2 linked regions of the Xenopus tropicalis genome follow. The protein of the gene in region 2 binds, or shares a complex with, the protein of the main gene of each other region. Links are inferred from orthologs where the notes say so. Each region holds a gene or a part of one and is shown on either strand. Other genes may lie near its edges. The genes, in order: pag1 and csk.

Evidence for each region.
Region 1: the proteins of csk (region 2) and pag1 are in contact, whole or in part, in an NMR structure (PDB 2RSY), measured with the Rattus norvegicus proteins. The link is inferred for Xenopus tropicalis from reciprocal best matches to the Homo sapiens genes CSK and PAG1. Residues at the interface, in NP_001025210.1 of Rattus norvegicus: Thr88, Arg89, Glu93, Arg107, Ser109, Thr110, Asn111, Tyr112, Thr117, Cys122, Glu123, Lys125, Val126, Glu127, His128, Tyr129, Arg130, Ile140, Asp141, Tyr156, Asp161, Gly162; in NP_071589.1 of Rattus norvegicus: Phe291, Ser292, Leu294, Tyr296, Lys297, Ser298, Arg299, Glu300, Glu301, Leu305, Ile310, Met313, Tyr314, Ser315, Ser316, Val317, Asn318, Lys319.

The regions. Positions count from the first base shown.
Region 1 is NC_030682.2:123,791,291-123,795,118, forward strand, and holds part of pag1 (phosphoprotein associated with glycosphingolipid-enriched microdomains 1), read right to left. Parts: intron 2,808-3,828; 5' UTR 2,745-2,807; coding exon 2,596-2,744; intron 2,095-2,595; coding exon 2,043-2,094; intron 1,469-2,042; coding exon 1,375-1,468; intron 637-1,374; coding exon 32-636; intron 1-31. UniProt on the Homo sapiens protein: Negatively regulates TCR (T-cell antigen receptor)-mediated signaling in T-cells and FCER1 (high affinity immunoglobulin epsilon receptor)-mediated signaling in mast cells.
Region 2 is NC_030679.2:94,053,351-94,057,178, reverse strand, and holds part of csk (tyrosine-protein kinase CSK), read left to right. Parts: intron 1-1,333; coding exon 1,334-1,553; intron 1,554-3,828. UniProt on the Homo sapiens protein: Non-receptor tyrosine-protein kinase that plays an important role in the regulation of cell growth, differentiation, migration and immune response.

The sequences.
Region 1 (3,828 bases), on a different chromosome or scaffold from region 2:
TTATTTTAAATCAGTTTTTCAATAAACCTACTTTGTCATCTTGACTTGCACCCTCTATATTTTCCTTCAAGGCTTCTGGTTCTGCTTCTGGTTCTGCTTCCGGTTCCTTGCTTTGCACATTTTCATTTTCATCCAATAGTTTCTTGGGAAGTGGAGGTGGAACGTCCTCTTCTTGGGAAGTTGGGGTGCTGCCAGCACTTTGTGTGTTGATGCTCTGTCGGCTTTTCCTGTTGTGATCCACAGAAGCATATTCTGCCCCAGCCTCTATCCTAAATTCTTGTCTCTTAGGGCTTACAGCATCCATGGATCTCTCTGTTTCTTCATTGAGGGGCAGTGCATGAGCATCCTTTATTTCTTTTACAGTTTCATACAGTGAATCCTCAATAATATTCTCATGGGAGGAACTATCCTTTAGCACCTCATAGGGCCCTTCATTCCCAAGAGGTAACTCATTCTCATCATCTTCTGCTGGGCTTATAGTCTCTAGGTTACTGTTAGGTGGAATTCTAGGCAGCTCTCGGCTTTGGTGGCACCTTATTGATTTTGATGTGCAGTCCTGAAGGTCGCACAGGTCAGGCAGGGAGCCCTGTACATCCTCGTATGGCTGAATGCAGGCAGCGCTGCTGTCTTCTGAAACTGCAGGAAAAGCAACATTCATATTCAGAGGCGTTTTGAATTAACTACTCAGTACTGCAAAGTAAGAAAATACATACAGGTATGGAACCAGAATGTGCAGGACTTGGAGCTTTCAGGATAGGGGATCTTTTCGTGTTTAAAAAAAAATCATTTACAAATGAATAGCTAGTAAGGGTTAATTTTATCTTATTTAGAATCAAGTACAAGGTACTGTTTTATTGCAGAGAAAAAGGAAATCATTTAAAAAATATTTGAATTATTTGATTATAATGTAATTTATCGGGTATGGGCTTCCCATAATCCAAAGCTTTCTAGATGGCAGGTTTCCGGATAACAGAACCCATACCTGTACTTTGGAAATTGTGTTTATGTAAAGGGGAACTTAAATGTAATATGAACTTCAAATAACTGAAATAAAGTCTAGAGATAATCAATTTGATGTACTATCCCCCTCTCAGCATCTACATAAAGGTTGGTGTCAGTTTATGGAAATTGCAGTTTTAAAGTGAAGGCGACGTGCTGTATTCCTTTCCTACAACAATCATCTGTTATATGCCGACGCAAATAGGTGCTCAGGATATTCGGATACGAGTGTATGAGGAACACGTACAATCACTCTCTTCCTAGCACCGAATGACAATATGAATGTCGACAACAGATGTCACAATGTAGATAATTAATGTAATTACACTGACTGCTGCCTTTGTCCATGTTAGCTAATGTACTGGAGCTACTCACCATCACCATTACTGACTGCACCATTTCGGTAACTGGCCGGTGCCTCTGTGCCCAGGCTTGTAACAGAGTGGCTGTATGTTTCCTTATCAGAAGGCTGCAGTTTCCAAATAAAAAAAAAGGTTACTTTTACTTTATGAAATGTAACCTTTACAAGATATTCCACAAGCAGATAAAATGCACCATGCAAAAAAGAAAGAGCATGCATATGTACAAAAAGTAATATTTGCTTCAGTAAATGTTATAAAGAAAAATGATAAAAATGGACAAATGAACACATTTTCTTGAAATCTCCACAATTTGCATTGGCTGTAACAGGGCTACAGTAATTCATCTGTTCTGTAACATATAACAAGCCATACACCAAAGACATAATAAAAAAATCATGGAACATTAGGAAAGTGGAGTTACTAATAGTTCACATCTTTATATTATTTGAAATGCCTATGGCTCAGTTGTAGTAGAATGAATGCAAACATCTGAGTTCAGTGCCATAGTTATACAGTATCTCTACAGTATCAGAGTGTCAGTAGGCACTGGGATAGGTTGTGGCTTAATTATCATTTAACAAATGGGTGTGAATAGGTATATGCTGTTCCATACAAACATTTGCCTGAGACGCACATTAGATGCACATGTTCATACATGTAGTTAATAGCAGATTTGCTTACCGCTGTCATTAGATTCTCATGGTCCCCATTCTGATGTTTCTTTTTCTTCTCTCTGTTGAAAGAAACAAACCATATTTATGTAGTTCCTACCTGATATAGATAAGCACCTTTAGTTTCAGCACAGTCTCTCATTTCTAATGAATAATACCTTATATAGTGTAGGCTGCCCTATCAAGTTTGTAGTCAGATGCAAAGCAAAAGGGGATCTGGGACCAAGTTACAATACTGATGATTGTTTTCCCCATCTGGAGCGCAGGCACCTCTGATGGTGGAAACGATATTTTGATGAGAATTGTCCTTTAATTATGGAAAGTAATCTATAGCTTGTGGTGCCCTGTTCTACAGATAAAGTCATTGCCCCTCAGATGACCGCAGGAGAATGCTGGATCTATAGTTCAACAGCAAAAGCTTTTCAGATTTAACATCCAGACTGTGGAAGCCAAAGTGCATTTTGCCACTTTCTTATTCTTTGCGATAGTACATCTTCTTGCTTACTTTTTGTTAACTGTATCCTACCCATGCTATATATAAGTAAATAAGGTATCAGCCTTGCCTGTAACAGCTGGAACACAGAAAGAGGAGTATGGAGAGGAAGATGATGGTTGACACAGCAGCCAGCCCACCCCATGCCATGAACGCTGCTTGTTCCCCACTCAGGTCATTACTTGGGCTTCCCGCCATCTCCTGTACAATGGGAGCCATTCTTAGTGTATGGTTATCTGCTCAGAGGGGGACTTCATTTGTGGGAACACACTGTCCTGCTTCCTGGAAATAAACAAGCACAGTGTAACAGAAATGTACATATAGCACTCGGGCATACACAGCAAACAAAACAGGAAGAAACAGAACTCAATATATGCATTTTATATTCCATGTAATCTCCCACTGGATTTCTGTGTGTCCTGCTCTTAAGCTGGCCATACATGCCCCAACTTGGCTGGGCATTTTCGGTGATTTAAGCTATACCACACATCTGGCCACGTATGACCAGTCAGGGGGCCATTAAGACTAAAAAAATCCTGCAATACGGTGGAACTGAAGTACCGTACAATTTGGACCTTGGAGTGGACTTCAATGGATCTGATGTAATAATGTTTCAGAAGAACATTAGCCATAGCTGTACTGTATGCAGCCACCATGGTTATTGGTATAGAAAGTTGCTGTGTGTGAGTGCCTCTCTATCACATTGCATGGTGTCAGAGGCTAAAGCGCTGTCATGGATGTAAACACATGAGCTTTGCACCTTTCAATTTAGAGCATTTATAGCAAAAAGATCTCGAGTGTGTAAGTTTGAGCTAATGTTCCCTTTAAGCTGTGAGCATACATACACATAGTGACACCAATAGGCAAAATACATTGTGCAGAGAACAGATAATTACAATATGCATCTGTATACAAAATTCAGCATTTTACTATGTGCCCTCCTGCAGATATGCTGGCCGCAGCTTTTAAAAAGCACATACACACAACCAACCAAAAAGGGGGATGGATAGATGGGAAAGTGACAGGGACCACAGCATCTCCTCACTATACTTGTTTTGGCTGTTAGACCTTCCCTATGGATGATCCAGTCACAAAATATCTGTCCATGTGGCCAGCCTGTTGCATAACCCACAAGTGGACAATTCATGGCTACCCTAGCTCTGCTCCTTGTCTGCCCACAGCCAGCTGCCCTTTCACAAACCCAAAAAATACACCGACACTTGGAAATAAATATTTACTTACACTGCTGGATCCTCTTCTACTCACATAGAAGCACCTTATACATTAACCCAAACAATAACCT
Region 2 (3,828 bases):
TTTTTATGACATTTCAGAAAATCTCTTAAAAATTTTGCAGTTTGTTGCATTTATCTCACACAGTTTCTTGCGAACAAAGGCAAATCACCCCAAATAGGAACACCAGAGGTCTACTGAACAGTTTGATGTCCAATATGTATAGATATACCAAAGTCTGCGGTATGTACTGACCCCAAAATGAAAATAGCGCCTATGGGTTTCTTGCCTGCCAACTCAGCTTTTGCACAGAGCCCCCTGACAGCGTATTATGTGCAGTAACCCCCCCAACTATACAGAGACCCCCAGAAAACCATATATTTTTGGAAAATACACATTCTGATGAATTCAAAATAGGTAAAATTTTTCTACACCAAAGTTACACATGGCAAAGCTATGCTAAAAACAGATCAGGAATACTAATACAGGGATAAAAATGCAATAAAACCACAAAAATTGTGCGAATTAGTGAAACGACAAAATAAGTCACACAACAGTGTAATTAGTGGTCAGAATATCTGATCCAATAGTCGCGCTGTCAAAATATACATTTTTTATGGAAAAGAAACTAAAAACAAAGTGGTAAAAAAAATTAATTTTTTTTAAAAAAGTGTTTGTGTATACATGTGTGTACATGTGTAAAAGTTGTGTGACAGTGTGTAAGTGTGTATATAAGTGTGCAAAATGAAAAAACAACTGCTAACTTTTCTGCTGTAAGTGTGTGTGAGTTGTGTGTAAGTGCAAAAAAACCCATCTTACCTGTCCTGAAGCAGGGATCGCAGTCCTGGTCCTCCTGCTGCAGTCTTCATCCGGGCCGGTGCTTGGGGGGGGGCAACAGGAAGCAGGAAGTGAAGACTAAGCAGCAGACGCGATGCGATCGCGCCTGCTGCTTGGAGGTCAGCCCTGTGATGATCGCGTCGCAGGGCCGACATGACAGTTCCCCTGGCTCATTGCCGAGGGGGCTGTCATCTCTAAAAACTCTCTGTAGAAGCAGTACATGCCGCTTCTGCAGAAAGTACCTTTATCTGCCAAACAACGTACGGCGCATGTTGTTGGCAGATAAAGCCTTTTACTGCAACAACGTACGCCATACGTACATACGTGAAAGGGTTAATCTGTGAAATTCGGTATGTTTGTGTAGAATGAAATACATTTTTATTTATATCTTGAAGTTCAGGTTCAGTGTTTTGTGCACCTTTTCTACACAAGCCCAACTGAGTGAACTCATGTGAAAAAGGGGGTATATTTTCCTCTTAAATATATTTTATAATCAGCGAATTTAAATCAATTATATACATATAAATCAAACCTAACTACTTCTTTTACCTTGTTCTTTCATTCTGTTACGCCCTTAAAGGTGGTTTCATGGCAAGATAACCCGAGAGCAGGCTGAGCGTCTCTTGTATCCACCTGAAACGGGCTTATTCCTTGTACGGGAGAGTACAAACTACCCTGGAGATTATACTCTGTGTGTGAGCTGTGAAGGGAAAGTGGAGCATTACCGCATTATCTATTCTTCTGGCAAGCTGAGCATTGATGAAGAGGAATACTTTGAAAATCTCATGCAGCTGGTGGAGGTATGAAACCGGAGCCCATCAGGGGCAAAGGAGTTGGGCAGATGGGGGAATCCAGTGTGGGGCCCATTTGGTGCTTGAGAACCTAGACTGCCATGAAAGGGGTGGGCTTCATGCAAAAGGGGCTGGGTTTGTCTTAATGGAGCCGCACAGTGATGTAGGTCTCTATGATTCATGGCAACACTGTGGAACAAAACACTCTTTGATGTCACAGCTGTAATTTGTTTGTTTGTGACATTACTTATACTTAATATCCCCAATTTAGACCTGTAACCTATCAAAAATGAAAAATATAAAATTAAAACTTGAGAATTTAAAAAAAATAAAAAAAAATACATAAGTATTGGTACGAAATATTAAATTTTAATTTACGCCATTCCTTCACATAAAAAATGTTACATGTGTCTTTCAGTTTCCTTTTCTAATGACACCCCCACCAGAAGGTGTATTTTTTGTGGGAATAATTTGAAATTACACAGGTACCAACATCCCACTTGGAATCAACAGCTCTCAGCTTGATATGCCCCAAGTTAACCTAGATATGCATAGTAATACTTGCCATATAAATCATCCCACACACTAAAATGTTCATACACAGGCTGATTGTAGCTTCCGATATCGGTCCCTTAAACCGATTTCGCAGCTTAACGGCCCGTGTTGGGGCAGCAACGACAGGCCTGCTGACTGACATCTGGCCTGAAATTGGCCAGATATTGATCAGGCAGGTTAAAAGATTTAGTCGGATCGGGGTGCCGATGCTGTCAAACGATTGAATTAGCCTAAATTTGCCCGATATCGCCCACCTGTAGATGGGGATATTGGGAGAAGATTCGCTCGCTTGGCAACCTCGCCAAGCGAGCGGATCTTAATGTGTATGGCCAACTTTATTTACAAACGTTTGCAGGGTTTGTGTTGGCAAAGAGGAGCCATGTTATTTGGCAGTAACATTTACCAGAAATCCACCTGAAGGGCACCCAAATGCTTTGAGAGGTATACAGAAAAATGTCAATGATTGTTCCCTTTCTCCCCCACACACCTAATGTAGTCCGTATGCCTAAGGTTTGTTTTCTTTTGTTGCTTTGCATGAATGGAGGACTTCAGTGGAAAGTATTTTGATGGCTTTCTATTAGCATTATCCTCACTTCTAATACTGATCATATTATCTCCTGTTCTCCAGTGCCTCTCAGTTATCATGTGCTATGTATAGCACTTAGTTACACAGAGCAGTATAACCGTCTCCTTTAGCATGTGAACTAAGAATACTTGTTGAAATGGTTGATATGGGGACATTTCCTGAATGGAAAGACCTTTGGAAAGTCATTGAATTCCTAACTGGATGGTAAACCATGCATGTTGTTCTTCCTTTGTTTGCTGTAACATGGTTTATCAATGACCAAATCTAAAATAAGATCATAGCATCAGGTACTCTGCATGCAAGTCTGCACTTTTTTCATCTGGTAAATTTAGAGAGCGCTCATCATGTATCTGATAGAGGCAGAGAAGTAATGAATATCTTAGAAAGCGTCTGAAGGTGGCCATACACTACAAGATCCACTCGTTTGGTGATTTCCCCCGATATGCTCACCTTGGGTGGTAGATATTCATCTAATGCAATCATTCGGCTAAAGGGCCAAACAATCGCATTACAGTGAAGGGAATATGAGCTGTCGGATCAAGGATCAGTAAACCGTTGTGGTCCTCAATCTGACGGGAAAATCAAGCTTGCCCTATCTACATTTAGCTAATTTTAGTCCAGATGTCAGTCAAGGAGGCCTTCAGATGGTCCCATGCATGGGTAGCTGCTAAATCAATCTGAAGGACCTGAATCGACAGCTTAAATCTGCCTGTGTATGGCCACCTTTACACATGAATTGGGCGGTGTTTATTCTACAGGTATGGGGCCCGTTATCCAGAATGCTCGGGACCTGGGGTTTTCCGGATAAGGGGTCTTTCCGTAATTCAGATCTCCTACCTTAAGTCTACTAAGAAAATTATTTAAACCGTATTTAAACCCAATAGTATTGTTTTAGCTCTAATAAGGATTAATTATATCTTAGTTGGGACTGTTTTATTATTACAGAGAAAAAGGAAACCATTTTTTAAAATGTGAATTATTTTATTAAAATGGAGTCTATGGGAGAAGGCCTTTCCATAATTCGGAACTTTCTGTATAATGGGTTTCCAGATAAGGGGTCCGATACCTGTATTAATAAAATCGGAGACCTTGAAGGCCTATGTCTACTAACTGTTAACTACTACCTTAATTCTCATTACTGTG